Linked DNA regions of Elephas maximus indicus. The protein of the gene in region 1 interacts with the protein of each later gene in a pairwise test. Links are inferred from orthologs where the notes say so. Each region holds a gene or a part of one and is shown in the gene's direction. Other genes may lie near its edges.

Region 1 (7,975 bases):
ATTCATTCACTCATCTATTCATTTAAAACACATTTGTTGAGTGCCTACTGTGTGCCAGGCACTGGGGGTACAGAGATGAATAGAGACAGGCACCCACAGGTCTTTAAAATCTGAAGAGTCAAACTCACAGATGATAACAGTACGACAATTGAGACACAAAGATGAAGCCATGCCTGATGCAGAGATCGGCTGGGTGTGCAATGGGAGGAAGGCAGGAGCCATAATAGGACTCCCAGCTTTTCAGTCTGTGCAAATGGGTGGATGGTAGTGCTATTCACTAAGACAGGGAAAAGAGAAGGAGGAGCATTGCATGGGCAAGATGATGTGTTCCATTTAGGATATGGTGAGTTTGAGGTGCTTTTGGGACATCCCCAGTAGGGATCTCTAACAAATTTGTAGCTTAGGGAAGAGAGAAGCCCTGAAAATAGAGATTTAGGAATCATTGGCAGATAGGAGTTGGAATCATAAATGTATATAGGATGGTTTCAGTTGCAAGTAAGAGAATAATTCAACTACAATGGCATTTGCTGTTTCACGTCTTAAGTAATCCATAAGTAGGCAGCTTCAGGGTTGAATAAACTGGCAGCACAATGAGGGCATCAATGACCCAGCAGTTTTCTATAGTTCCTCTCTGCCATCCTCAGGGTGTTGATTTCTTCCTTGGGCTTGTCCCCCCATGGTTACAAGATGGTGGCCACCCCATCCTCTCACAACTCCACTCAAAGGCAGGAATGAAGCTTTCTCCTCCCTGAGCATAGTGGTGCCGACGCGTGAACAAAACAGGAATTTTGCGAGTAAGGAAGCTAGGATAGACTTTTCTCAATCCTTATCCCTCTCTGACCCCTGGCTGGCCTGGTAGTGCTGACTGGTTATTCAGTGGAGAGGTGAGAGAGTTGGGCTCCTGAGTCGAGCATATCTGGGTTTATGTCCTGGAATCACTTCTTACTAGTTGTGTGACCACATATAAGTTTTTTGCCTCTCCTTGCCTGAGTTTCTCCATCTGTGGATTGAGGATACAATGGTTCTTATATTATTGGTTATTGAGATGATGAAATGAAACATTACATATAGACGAAATGAAATGATACATACAAAGCACTTAGCACAGTGCCTGGCACACAGTACCTAAGTGTTCAGCAAAAACTAGATATTAACATTTTATGGAGACCACCTTCCCCTTGAAAATCTCCTGCCCTTTGTCTTCTAGGTCTCCTCTTTTTCAGATAGGCTCCTTATCTTCTCCCTCCCATTTCCTCCTTTTCCCAAGTTTAGATCCTCTGCCATTACTACTCACTAGGCCTTGTCTTGTGGCTTCAGTCATCAAATCTTCTTGGGACTGATGTGATCAAATCTATTCTCCCATTGTACCTTTTTCTTGATATGCCTGCTGTATGTTCCATGGCCTCATAAGGTTCATCCTGATGTCTGATGCCACTGCTCCTGAACTCTACCCACTCTCCTGCTCCAGCACTTTATACAGGGTAGCTTCAAAGTCCCTTTGCATGAGATTCTACCCTAAAAACAACCACTGGAACTGCCTTAATGACTTCTACCTGCCAACTTGACTCAAAATGAGAAGTAACAGGTGCAAACATCCATTAATAATCAGAACATGGAATGTATAAAGCATGAAGCGAGGAAAATTGGAAGTCATCAAAAATAAAATTGAATGCTTGAAGATCAACATTGTAGGCAATAGTGAGCTGAAATGGACTGGTATTGGCCATTTCGAATCAGACAAACATATGGTCTCCTATGCCGGGAATGACAAATTGAAGAGGAACAGTGTCACATTCACAGTCAAAAAGAACATTTCAAGATCACTCCTGAAGTACACTCTGTCAGTGATAGGCTAATATCCGTATGCTTAAAAGGAAGACCAGTTTATATGACTATTGTTCAAATTTATGCACCAATCACAAATACCAAAGATGAAGAAACTGAAGATTTTTACGAACTGCTGCAGTCTGAAATAGACCAAACATGTAATCAAGATGCATTGATAATTACTGATGATTGGAATTGAAAGCTGGAAACAAAGAAGAAGGAATAGTAGCTGGAAAATATGGCCTTGGTGATAGGAACAATGCCAGAGATTGCATGACAGAATTCTTTAAGACCAATGAGTTATTCACTGGAAACACTTTTTTCAACAGCATGAACTATACACATGGACCTCACCAAATGGATTACACAGGAATCAAATCGACTATACCTGTGTACAGAAATGATGGGGAACTTCAATGTTATCAGTCAAGACAAAACCAGGAGCTGATTACAGAAAAAAACAGACCATCAATTGCTTGCATGCCAGTTCAAGATGAAGCCTAAGAAAATCGAAGCAAGTCCATGACAGCCTTGAGTACATCCCACCTGAATTTAGAGACCATCTGAAAATGGATCTGATGCACTGAATGCTAATGACTGAAGACCAGATGAGTTGTGGGAGGGATGACATCAAAGAAATCATACATGAAGAAAGTGAAAGATAGTTAAGAGAAAGAAGGAAAAGACCAAAATGAATGTGTCAGAAGAGACTCTGGAACTTGCTCTTAAGCACAGAGTAACTAAAGCAAACAGAAGAAGTAAAAGGGCTGAACAAAAGATATCAAAGGGAGGCTTGAGAAGACAAGGAAAATTATAATGATATATGCAAAGACCTGGAGTTAGAAAACCGAAAGGGAAGAACACGATATGTATTTCTCAAGCTGAAAGAACTGAAAAGAAAATTTAAGCCTAAGTTACAATATTGAAGACTTCTATGGACAAAAAATTTAATGATGCAGGAAGCACCGAAAGAAAATGGAAGGAATAAACAGAGTCATTGTACCAAAAAGAACTGGCTGACGTACAACCATTTCAGGAGGTAGCATGTGATCAAGAACTGCTGGTGTTGAGGGAAGGCATTCAAGCTGTAATGAAGGCATTAGAGAAAACCAAAGCTCCAGGAATTGATGGAGATTGAAGTTGTAAAGGATTTCATTTGACTTGGATCAACGATCAACAATCAACACCTATGGAAACAGCAGTCAAGGATCTAACAACATATTGCATTGGGAAAATCTGTTGCAAAAGACCTGTTTAAAGTGTTAAAAAACAAAGATGTCACTTTGATACTAAGGTGCGCCTGACTCTAGACATGATCTTTTCAATTGCCTCATATGCATGGGAAAACTGGACAATGAAAAAGAAAGACCAAAGAAAAATTGACGCATTTGAATTGTGGTGTTGGCGAAGGGTATTGAATATACTGTGGATCGCCAGGGGTACAAACAATTCAGTCTTGAAGGAAGTACAGTCAGAATGCTTCTTAGAAGTTAGGATGGTGACACTTTGTCTTGCTTGCTTTGGACATGTCATCAGGAAAGACCAATCACTAGATGAGCACATCACATTTGGTAAAGTGGAGGATCAGTGAAAATGAGGGAAACCCCCCACAAGATGGATTGACACAGTAGCTGCAACAATGGGCTAAAACACACCAACAATTGTGAGGATGATGTGGGACCAGGCAATGTTTTGTTCTGTTATACATAAGGTTGCCATGAATTGGAGCCAACTTGATGGCAATTAATAACAACAACAGCAACCTGCCAACATGGAAGATGTCCAGAAGGACATGGAGAAACTCTAAAATTTGTGCAGAGAGCAACATCTGGATAACTTCTATGGATCTAGGTTAGGAAATTTGTGGCTCTACCTACCTATTGCCGTTGAGTTGATTCTGACTCATAGGGACCCTACAGGACAGAGCAGAATTGCTCCACAGGGTTTCCAAGTAGCAGCAGGTGGATTCGAACTGCTGACCTTTTGGTTAGCAGCCATAGCTGTTAGCCACTGAGCAACCAGGGCTCCAATATGATAGTTATTTTTGTCTCACTTCCTGGGCTGTGAGCATCTCAGGGCAGGGAAAGGGATTACTCATTTACCTGTCACCTTGGTGCCTAATGTATAGCCAGAAAAATGTTTGATGAATAAATAAGGCTCCTGGCTTTGCCACCTACTACTTTTCAAGTGACAAGACCCTTTCTTTCTCCAAATCCCAGTTTCAAAATCTATACAGTGAGAGGACCGGATGAGCTCCAGGAAGCCCTTTCAACATGAAAGTGGAGTTGGTGGCCAAGGGATGGAGGGACTGGCTAGGAGACTCAAGAAGATTTGATGGAAGGATGGGGTCCCTATCAAGGGATAGAGGATGGGGACTCCAAGGTCTCCTGCAAAATGTTGTGCTCAGGTCCGAGGCAGAGGGATGGGCTCAGAAAGAGGGGCTCCCTTACCCCACATCTTGGGAGGTGCCCAGGACTCCAGAGAAGAGAAACAGGGCTTCCAACTTGGGGTTTGAACACCTATTGAGAATTTGCATTTCTAACAAGTTCTCTGCTGAGGATTTGCTTTTCCACCCCAGATACACTGAACCAGAATCTATAGTTTAGCAAGATCCCCAGGTGATTCTTATGTATAACTGGGTGGGGGAGGGGCTTGTTAGAAGTGCAAATTCTCAGCAGGAGTTCAAAAGGGACAGATCAGGTTCAAAGCCCTGAGGGGAAAGGACTTGATTTAGGTCAGAGGGTTTCTCTCCTGTCTTTGAGGGGGCACTGGCTATTAACCCCTTGAATCCTAATGGTTCGCTGGATGAGTCCCAGCCCTGCCTCCCCAGCCGGGGGTCGGGGGGAGAAACAATTTCTGGAGACAATTCTGAGTACCCATTCCCCCCTGCGGCCTGCCTCCGAACAGGCTGTTCTTGTTTACGACCCCCATCCTGGGAGAACAGCGATTGCTCATCCCCACGTGTGATTTGAGAGGGTGAGTCTTCCAGGCCTGGAGGAAACTCAAACCCCGGCAGCCAACTGGCATCGGAATGCTCAGCTGGTTCCCTCCCGGGGCTCATGTGACCAGGGTCCAGCTATAAATATCAGAGGGGCCTCAGCCCAAGACAGAATTCGGGCGCCAGAAGAAGGAGGCAAAGAGGCTCTGTGCGGGTGTTTTGTGACAAAGGCAAGAGCCCCAGGTCTGCCCATAGTTAGGTGCAGGCGAAGGAGGCAGCCAGGTAGGCCTATACCTACCGACAATATGGATTATAAATCCAGTCTGATCCAGGTTGGGAACCCCATGGAGAACTTGGAGAAGCAGCTCATCTGCCCCATCTGCCTGGAGATGTTTACCAAGCCAGTGGTCATCTTGCCGTGTCAGCACAACCTCTGCCGGAAGTGTGCCAATGACATCTTCCAGGTCAGTGCCCGGCATGGTCTAGTAAAACCCTTCTCACCTAGCCCAGGACCTTTCCAAACTGCTGCTGGCTCTGTCCCCTGCAAAATGAGTCCCCCCCGCGCCCCCGTGCAGAGGCCTGAGGACTCAGCTGAGGGGTGCGAGGGAGGCTGCTCTGGCCACTCCAGTCCTTCTCCATGACGCACGTTTCCCCTCTCCATCAGGCCTACAGCTCCCCCACCCCTGCCCTAAGCAAGGCAGTTGACTTTCCGATCAAGAGTCAAATGCCTCAAGAGATAAGTAGGGGAGGCAAGCGGAAAGGAGAGAGAAACCAGACCCCTGGGGCTGGAGCCAGCTCTACTGTGGCAGGGGGCCCAGAGCTTTGGGAGGAGGGTGGTGGGGAGGTACTGGACAGTAGAGGCATCTTCCCTTTTGAGGTTGGTCCCTGTAATCCTGTGGAGGGGTGGGGGTGCCCAACCGCCCTAAGAAAGGAACCAGAGTGGACCTTCTGGCTGGGAAGCGGGGATCAAGTTTCCCCAGGAGCACTTTACATAAACGCTCTTTCACTGTTTTATCTTCAAAGTAGCAACCCTAGGAGCTTGCTCTAATTATAATGTCCATTTCATGAAGGGGCATACTGAGGCTTAGATAAGGTTACTTGTTCAAAGTCACATGGAAATCCTGGTGGTGTAGTGGTTAAAGAGCTATGGCTACTAACCAAAAGAGGTCAGTAGTTCGAATCCACCAGGTGCTCCTTGGAAACCCTGTGGGGCAGTTCTACTCTGTCCTAAAGGGTTGCTGAGTTGCAAGTGACAACAGCAATGGGTTTGGGTTTTTTTTTTTGTTTGTTTATTCGAAGTCATTTATCGAATAAATGTAACTTGAACCCAGGTTCACCGATTCTTAAAGCAGGTATATTATCTTGTGTGGTTATTGATTGCTTAGTTGCTTCTCAGGTGCTCCATGTGTAAAATGGGCTGGTTCTCATGTCAGAATGGGGAGCTCCACGCAGGGGCCTATCTGTGGAAAACAGTGCCTATGGCAATTAGCCTTAAATTGTTGAATGATCTCTCACAGCTGGCGATGGAAACTGCAATGGCGGATGGCCAGTGGAATCAAAACTGCTCGTTAGCACCCTTCGTTAGCACCCTTCCTCAGGTGGCCAGTGGAATCAAAACTGCTCGTTAGCACCCTTCCTCAGGTGGCCAGTGGAATCAAAACTGCTCGTTAGCACCCCTCCTCAGGTGGTGCCCAGGGCACTGCCCTACCTACCATACCTTAGTTAGGCCTCTGGCAGGTCATATGGTTCGACAAGAATGGTTGGTGTAGGCAGGGGTGGGGACGGCTAACAGGAGATTAGAAAGGGAAAGGGCTGGCCAGGGATCCCAGGCCCCACCTCTGCCCTTGCCATCTGCAGGCTGCAAATCCCTACTGGACCAACCGGAGTGGCTCGGTGTCAATGTCTGGTGGCCGTTTCCGCTGCCCCTCCTGTCGCCACGAGGTGATCATGGACCGGCATGGAGTGTACGGCCTGCAGAGGAACCTGCTGGTGGAGAACATCATCGACATCTACAAGCAGGAGTGTTCCAGGTCAGCTGATCCTCCCACCTCTGCCATTCTGTACCAGCTCTCCCCGGCTGTCCTTCTCTTCCTACTTCCGCTCAGGATCCGGCCTCCCAGCAGTCCAGAGAGCCATTTCCTTCTGCCTGAGGAACATACGCCCCAACCCTGGCTCTCAGTATCAGTCAGTGAATAAGGAGGAGTCCAGACAGCAGGCTGCCCTTCTGGGAGATGCTGAGACAGAAAGCAAGGGAAAGATAAGACGGGAGGGGGAGAGAGAGGCACCCCGACCAGCTAAGCGGCCCTGAAAAGAGAAAGCACCCAGGGAGAATTTGGCCAGTAGTTACCCGCCGTGGGTCAGCAGGCACCAGCACTGGGATGCTTCTTCTTGGCACCTCTTAACAATCCTATGGATCGGCCACAACTTTTATTATCCCCATTTCACAGATGAGGAAGCTGAGGTTCAGAGAGGTGAATCCATTTACCCAAGGTTGTGGAAGTAGGTGATCTAGAAGGAGACACAGTTGATCTAGTTCCAAATCTGTTTATGAAAGAGCAGCTCAGTCTCAGGCAGAATTTGTGAGTGGTAGAAGTTACACAGCGTCAGGCTTCAAACCGGAGAGAGCTTTACATACAGTCAGGACATCCCGACAAGACTTCCAGGAGCCTGATCCCACAGCCCTTATGGTCCAAAACCTTTACTGAGCACCTGCTACTGGTAATGCCCTGCTGGAGGGAGGGTGGCAGACCAGGCCTGCTGAGAAAGAGCCCTGGCCTTTCTGTCTGAATCTGTTACTAATGCACTCAGGCACTGGCCTTTGGGCCTTCATTTCCCTCGTCTACAGAAGGGGACAGTGAGATCCGTTATTGTGATTGTGAAATAGGATATCGATGATTAAAAAAATACCAAATATTTATTAAGTACCTACTTTTTTTTTTTATGTGTAGGGTACTAGGAGCCCTGGTGGCACAGTGGTTAAGCAGTTGGCTGCTAACCAAAAGGTTGGTGGCTTGAACCCACCAGCCTGCTTCCGTAAAGATTTACAGCCTTGGAAACCCTGTGGGGCAGTTGTACTGTCCTATAGAGTTTTTTTTATAGAGTTGCTATGAGTCGGTACTGACTTGATGACGATGAGTCTGGTTTTTGTTTTATGTGTAAGCGCTGTACTAAGTATTTTTTAAGCATTACCCTATTTAATCATCATAATAA
Region 2 (7,705 bases), on another chromosome or scaffold:
GTATTAAAAAGACTTACGAAAGGACCTTACCGATAATTTAGAGACAAAAATCTTTTAGTTTTAGGGTTCTATGATTTTTCTCAAATAAGCAACTAAACCAATCAAATAGCCACATTTGTGAACAAAACATCACTTAAAAAAGCAAGACAAATATTAAAAAGCAGAAAAAGATTCATAATAGATTATTAAATACTGACCATTAACAACTGGGAATAGGGTCATAAAAGAGAACCTACTTAGCTTTCCTAAGTTATCCTATGATCCCCTTATTGTAGTGAAAACCTCGTCTTGATGCACCATGGAGCTATCACACTGCAACTGATGCTATGTCTTAAAAAAGCCTAGGGAAAAGAAGAGGCAAAGCTTAAAGGACAAAGAATAAATGGAACTAAAATTCTTCCTCAACTGTGGTACCTTTAGAACCTGTTCTAGGGAAAACTGGAGATTTACCAGTTTGTCCTGGACATCTTCCCTACTTGGCCAGTGGGGCATATCTGAAACTTTCACGTACAAAGGGACCTCAAATCTAATCTTCCCTCTTCCTTGCCTTAATTAAACCCTGTTCTCGGAAAAGAACCAAATATCAGTCACATATATCACATCTAAAATGCTTAGAATAGTGTCTTGCTCACAGTAAGTGCTATATGTGTTGGCTATTCTTTTTATTTTTAATTATGTCCTTTGCATTTGCATTTTAAGTCTATAAGGAATTCTAATTTGGATAGAAAGGTTTTGTTCCTATTAATGGAATTTGAGATATCAGTGAGCAGATGTGGAGAAATATTTTGGGGGACTCCTGAAATAAGATTTTGTCAGCAACCACCTACTCACCAAGTCTAGTACACTTTTTCTACTACGTACGTAATGGCTGTGTGCCCAGTGGGCAGCTGTCAAATTTTCTCTGAACACCAACGGATGGCACAGCTACAAAGTCGGTTGTGAAGAATTTGATATGGCTCAGATGTGTTCAAACATCTACATTTTGGAGCCTAATGTATGTGGTAATTCAATCAAAATTGGGGTACCCATGAGGGAGGGGAAAAAATAGATACACTTTACACAACAGAATCATACCAAAATTGAAGCCACTAAATGCGGATAATTCCACTCATTTGGCCTGACTCTCACACCACCCACTCCACTCCACCACTTCTTTTGTTCTTTGAAGGTTTCTTCCTCTGTAATTATTTATCTCCCTACACAAAAGTGAAAACCTAAATACCAAGGTGGTCTCCATGGCAAAAAGAGAAAGGAAACTGTACAACTGTTAGGAGTGAAAGGAGACGAAAGCTCTTTGACAGACAGAGCCCTAATTGTATAGATTGCTCATTTAGTTGGTTGTTTTTTAAGTGTTTCAAAGCTCCTTTAGAGTAAAAGTACTGAGTCGAGGGGGCATATGTGATACAGAGTCAGAAAACTCGCTAAAATGAAACAAATCATGTGTTTCCACCTCCCTACCTTTCCAATGACATATCAATATGACACTGCTCTCTTGCCTTTGTCCAGACCACACATCATTTCTTGGAACAAACTACTTAAATTCCACTCTGCCCCCACTCTTATTTGGCAAGACACACAAAAAAAAAATCATCAGATGAAGGGTTATTCAATACAATCAATTTGGAGCTCATTCATTACCGGCCTTATCTCTGGAAGAGTCTTTCTAGATAGAAGCACTTCAGTCTTAGAACACTGATAATTTCTCTTTTAGTTCTTCTCTCTTCAACAGGGACAATTCAAAGCACCCACCACAATAAGGAAATTGAAAGTTTTCTTTTTACTTTTCCCCGCTTCCCAATTCACTACACTTCCCCCTACATAAGCTCACTAAAGCTCATAGTCAAATTCATGCCTAAAATAAAGAGGCCTGGAAAAGAAGCCCGTGTAATCCCACTCCCTAAATATCACTAAGACATCTGAGATATTGTTTAGATTGTGGACTCTTACTTTGACATGCCAGCATAGGTAGATGGACAAGCAAGCACATCAGATGTCACCGTCTGGCAGCTGATAAAAGTCAGTGGTGCTATAATACTAAGCACAGAGCCACTAGATTAGGCTGTGAGGGAAGGGGATGCCTTTTCCTTCCCTTTGATAGTGGGTAAAACCCAGCTGGCACCCTCTGGAACTACGGGTAAGTGTCTTCTTTATTCTTACTACAGTTTTGGGTTTGGGTTGTTTTTTTCACCCCCAAATCAGAGGGGTGTATTCAAAGGTGATCTTCCGATAAACAGTTTGAAAGCCACAACATCGTAATATTATACAAAGATCTGAAGAGAAAATGACTTATTCATTCCACTGAAACTTGAAATCATTATAGAAAGGGTAGAGGAAAAGGTAGCTGTGTGTCATTATTTTTAAATCATCATTTTTCCTTGCAAATGATCTCACGCAATGTGGTGATGCCCTATGGCTTCAAAATATCCTCTCAGTTTTTTTGTAAGTCTGTGTTATATTAGAGATAGGAAAAAAAAAAAAGTCTAAGATTTTTTTAATAGCAGACTGGGTAGTCCTTTATAAAACCTTTGAAATTTATGCAATATAATTTGGAATAAAATGATACTGCCATATTATAGAATCTATTACAGAATTGAGTTGTTGTACAGTACTAAGCATAAAGAAAAGCCTTTTAAAGTTACCTATGTAAATGTCTGTATAAAATTTCATTGAAATATGAATGAAATGAAATGTTGAAAGACTGTGCTTTTAATTGGCTTTAAAATATATTAGTAATTGTTAATTATAGAGGCCAATACCAAAATGTACAAGATAGTTGACATTCTGAACATATATATAAAGAAAAAATGGGAAATCATTCTGGAAAATATTTAATATTTCTTAAACAGATTATTTTTTGCCATTTGAAATAGTCTGAATAATTCACCTGCCCAGAAAGGAATTTAAGAACCAAACTCCAGATTTACTTCTGCAATGGAATGAATACAACTCATGGTTATAAAATTACCTGTCTTGAAATATAGTCTTTTTTGAGAAGATCTCGTTAAAGCCCCCTTCTGGATGTTTTTCCCCAACAATTTAAAAGCCTAATGTAGGTCATTACTGAAATGCACTCTGGTTCAAGGTACTTATATCAATAAACTTGAAATTAGGGAATACATAACTTTTTAAGCATGCTTTTTTTCTCTCCCATTGGAGTTTTTCTCTTGGCTGTTTGTACTTTTGTTCTTTCCTGTAAGTGCTAGTTTTAATTTGACTCAAAAATACATACACAACCCTAGGATGAAGTTGTTTGGATCTGGAAAAGTTCTATTAACAATGATATTTTCTTCGAGATAGAACCCTTAAAGATTACAAGACTTGATTAAAACAATTTGGTTAATTTTATTAGTTAAAATTTTGATTTATCATTAACTCAGTGTTGATTTATATTGTACAAAACAAACTAAATGTATTTTTAACCAAATTACTTGATATTTTGAATGAAGACAGGACCAGTGTTACAATAATTTATATGGCTAGTCTTTGTGTGTAAGTCTATACATACATAGTCCTACTTAGGTTTACCATGGAGCCCTGGCAATACTAATGAAAGAAATCAGGGGCGAACATAATCCTTAAAGGCTGATTTTAGTGGCAAATTATTCATGTAAGGAATGACAGGGATCCCCTGTAGGAAGGCAGGAAGGCCACTGCAGAGTTCACTGAGAGACAAATGTCACCCTCCCTTTCTTGGTAAGGTATGGGTTAACTTCAGGGTTACCTTGCTTCTGTACTTCCCATTTGCCATTTCAAAAGTAAAAGAGGAGCTAATAATAATCTTGAAATTAGTCTAAACTACATACTAAGTAGGTAAAATAATAAAAAATAAAACTAAGTAAGAGAACATCAAAACTTATAACTAGAAAGTATAATCTAAAAATTTCAGAATAAGTTTACAAATGGCTCTGGAATACAGTCAGTAACACAGACACATACATGCTCACACTCCTAATTTATCATCTAGCTTGGTACTATGGTCGATCTGGAATTCAGGCACAATAAAGAGACAGTGAATTGTATAATAAAAAGATTCCACTCGAAGCTGACGACAGTAAATTGTAGTCGTTCACTCTATTTTGCGAAACTGTGAAAAAGTGAAGGAATAAATATGGACATTAAAGCAATGTTCTTTACAGAAGAATATTGCTTTCCTTGTTTTACCAAGATTTTATTCAACACAGATCATCAAGACGTGAATTAATTGATATATCAGGTCTATTAACCTGTTTTGATGAGTGGAAAAGTTCAGACTGAATGAAAACTGAAATGTTATTTAACTGCTATTAATTTTAAATCATAAAATTTCTCTGGCTAATGAAACTACGGCCTCTGGGCAAAAGCTAATCATGAGACTATTAAACTATCAAACTGAGTAACATCACAGAATTTCTTTTCATAATAATCACTTGGAAAATTCCACTTTGCATTCCTACACCTTGAAGTCCCTGAGCATGCTTTCTTAAGAATCACACGGGGACAAACATTACTGAATCCTTTTTCTTATTCTAAGGGAAAAAGTCATTTTGTGCAAAGACAGAGATAAAGGAAGGAGAAGCCTAGAAGCCAAGAAAGTTCCACCTTAAGGCTACCTTAAAAGCATATAAGCTCCAAAAGATGATAAACAGTATTGTTGTTTAAACAAATATCGTGGCTTACATTAATCATATTCTCCTTTTGAAGGAACAATATTCTTCAAGAGAAGCCCAATCCATCAAAGCCAGAATCAAAGTATTCCCAGGATCTCAACAAGGAGGGGCAGACCAAGGTTGCTTCTGATTCCTTGCGACCTTCCGTAATTCCAGGCTTGCAGCCCCAAATTCAGGACCTCACCCCTCCAGGAGCAAATCTCTATACTAATAACTTGCCTTCATCTTCCATATACCAGCTAAACATGTTTAACTATGAACGTCCAAAACACTTCATCCAGTCCCAAAACCCATGTGGCTCCAGACTGCAGCCTCCTGGATCAGAAACTGCCAGCTTCTCTAGCCAGACCAAACAGTCTTCCATTACCATCCAACCCCGCCAGTGCACAGAGCAAAGATATTCTACTTCCTCAACAGTGAGCTCTCACATCACCATGTCCTCCTCAGCCTTCCCTGCTTCTTCCCAGCAGCTCACTAGCTCTAACCCAGGCCAAAGGGTTGCAGCCACCTATAACCAGTCCCCAGCCAGCTTCCTCAGCTCCGTATTACCATCACAGCCTGATTACAGTAGCAGAAAAATACCTTCCACTGTGGACTCCAAGTAAGTGAGTTTCTAAAAATATATATGTGGATATACACTTGCATGTATAGTGAGCTTATATCTGAGTTTTGGTGGTATGCTGCAGTTCATTCTTCACTATCTAAAAAGGCAATGTGACCTCACGGTCTCATTCTGTAATTCTCCAAGAACACCTTGAATGAGGGTACTGGCAGTGAAGGGCCATTTGACTCATTGTTCCAGTGTTCAGGCTGAGTTGAACTCAAATAACTTCTTACTACATCCAATTACTTATTATTTTTCATCTTAAAAAAAATGATTTCTAACACATTCAAGAATAGAGAACTGGTTCTAAGCTAAGTTCCTTATGCTACAAATTTAATTCCTCTGGTTCTGGGCTCAGCTGAGATGAAGAACACCTGTTTGCTCTTCTTCAGCTAGGATTTCCTCTCACATAAGTAGAGACTATTGAGTTTCTTCTGTGTTAGTCTTTTCTTCCTATCCATTTTCCCCTCTGATCCACTTGACTAAAAAAAAAAAATCTGGGATTCAGGCATTAAAGTGTATGAATGTTCCTCACTATGATAAGCAGACTTGAGTAGATGAAGACTCATGACCTTAAGGTTTCCTTTGGTAATTAAAACCACACTGTTCACACTGGCTGGGCTGATCTAAACACAGGGAAGAATACCTGCAGTCTTATGCAAGCTTGTACTATTTCCACAACTCTAAAACTGTCCTAGGAGAACCTGATATGAAGGACATAGTGGTTGTGCTTTTTTTAAAACATGGACTGAATACTTTGTACTTACGCAAACTTAGGGCTATCAGTTTTCCTATTCCTTGGCTTGGCTAGAACATCAGAGAATTAAATCAGAGGCACCTCACAAACTGATGAAATATGTTTTGTTGCAGGATTGACAGATTCCCCGAAATTCTTGATAATTTCTTGGTCTTCTTTAAGTTAATTTTTCTAAAAATTCTACTGGCAACAACTCTGGACACTTAGCTGGCGTTAACAATTCAACTTGCAAAGAAACTTCGCCAATATTTTTAAAAATCAGGAAAGCCAAAAACATTTGTCAGAATTCTATAGATAGTAGGTTGAACCATTTAAAGTGGCTGAGAGTCAACTGACTACAAAAATGGCAATCTCATAGGTTTGACCTAATATTTTAAAAGAATGCCTTAAAGGATTTAGAACCCATTCTCTCTTCTCTTCCAAATCCGCATTATACCATTATTACACATCAGAGATTTTTCCAGGTACACTCTACCTAGATGACCACTTTCCATCAAGCTTCCTATTATTTCCAAGTTTCCTATAATGAGCTTTTTTCCATTTAAAACGACCTTTTCTGATTATAATATTTTTATTAGCAAAGTCTTTCAATTCTATTCTAAATACCTACCCAGAAAATAAAGCTATCAAACAAGTATTTAGTGAGCCTCAAACACATACCTAGCTTTGTGCACAGACCTAAGAAGAAAGAAAAAGTAGAGAGGATAAGAAATAAAGCATAGGAGGTCCCCAAACCAGAGATCAAAGATTCAGCTTTAGCTGTTCCATTTTCAGCAACTATAGATAACTTTTTTAATCTTCCCATAGCCACTTGATACCCGTTCCATGTCCAGCTGTACAGGGTGAAAAGCTCTGGCCCTTTGAACATTTGTGCACAACTCCTTCATTGTAATGATGGGCTTAACTTTGCCCTGTCTTCTAAAATAATCCTTTGATCCCGACCTAGAGAAGTTTGAAAGCTTTATTTAGCTTTTCCTCGGTAGAAAGCCCTTAGACAAGCATTTATTCAACTGATCGAACCAAAGACTGGAAATTGAGGGAAACTCTTTTAATGCTAATTATTCCTTTTCCAAAAGCTTGTTGTGTGGCATTCAGTAAGTACCGTACCTGCTCAGTGATTCAGTTTTCTATCTGTAACAAAATCAAGGATTTGGATAATTAATGACAGAAAAAATAAAGACCTGTAAAGCAATGTGCAAGTAAAATAGGCTTGGTTATGATAATCTTTCAGAACTTCTCATATTATGACCGTCTGAAAAAATTATTTAATGCTAATTTACTTTAACAAATGCGTAACTTTCATAAAGATGGCAGCCTGGTGTGGGGAAAAAAAAAACAATAAGGCTATTATAACTTCATACAGTTGGAGAAATACGAGATACATAAGCCCAAAGGAATTTTGCCACTTTGACCTGAGAATTCAATGTTAGGAAGGAAAAAAAAAAAAAAAAAGCTCACTACTTAAACACTTGGTTTAATTGTTTACTTAATTGGACAAATCAAACTTTAATTAAGGATTAACATAGAGAAACTTGCAGACCTAATGCAGGAGCCCTGGTAGTGCAGTGGTTAAGCACTCGGTTGATAATTGAAAATCTGAGGTTTGAACCCACCAGCGGCTCCTTGAGAGTAAGATGTGGCAGTCTGCTTCTGTAAAGATTTAGAGCCTTGGAAACCCTATGGGGCAGTTCTACTCTG

Evidence for each region.
Region 2: the proteins of TRIM63 (region 1) and MYOT interact in a two-hybrid assay, tested with the Homo sapiens proteins (2 studies listed by BioGRID). The link is inferred for Elephas maximus indicus from reciprocal best matches to the Homo sapiens genes TRIM63 and MYOT.

What each region holds. Positions count from the first base shown.
Region 1 is NC_064821.1:66,565,726-66,573,700, reverse strand, and holds the start of TRIM63 (E3 ubiquitin-protein ligase TRIM63), read left to right. Parts: upstream 1-4,959; 5' UTR 4,960-5,070; coding exon 5,071-5,229; intron 5,230-6,622; coding exon 6,623-6,795; intron 6,796-7,975. UniProt on the Homo sapiens protein: E3 ubiquitin ligase. Mediates the ubiquitination and subsequent proteasomal degradation of CKM, GMEB1 and HIBADH.
Region 2 is NC_064820.1:150,922,902-150,930,606, forward strand, and holds the start of MYOT (myotilin), read left to right. Parts: upstream 1-4,692; 5' UTR 4,693-4,891; coding exon 4,892-5,247; intron 5,248-7,705. UniProt on the Homo sapiens protein: Component of a complex of multiple actin cross-linking proteins. Involved in the control of myofibril assembly and stability at the Z lines in muscle cells.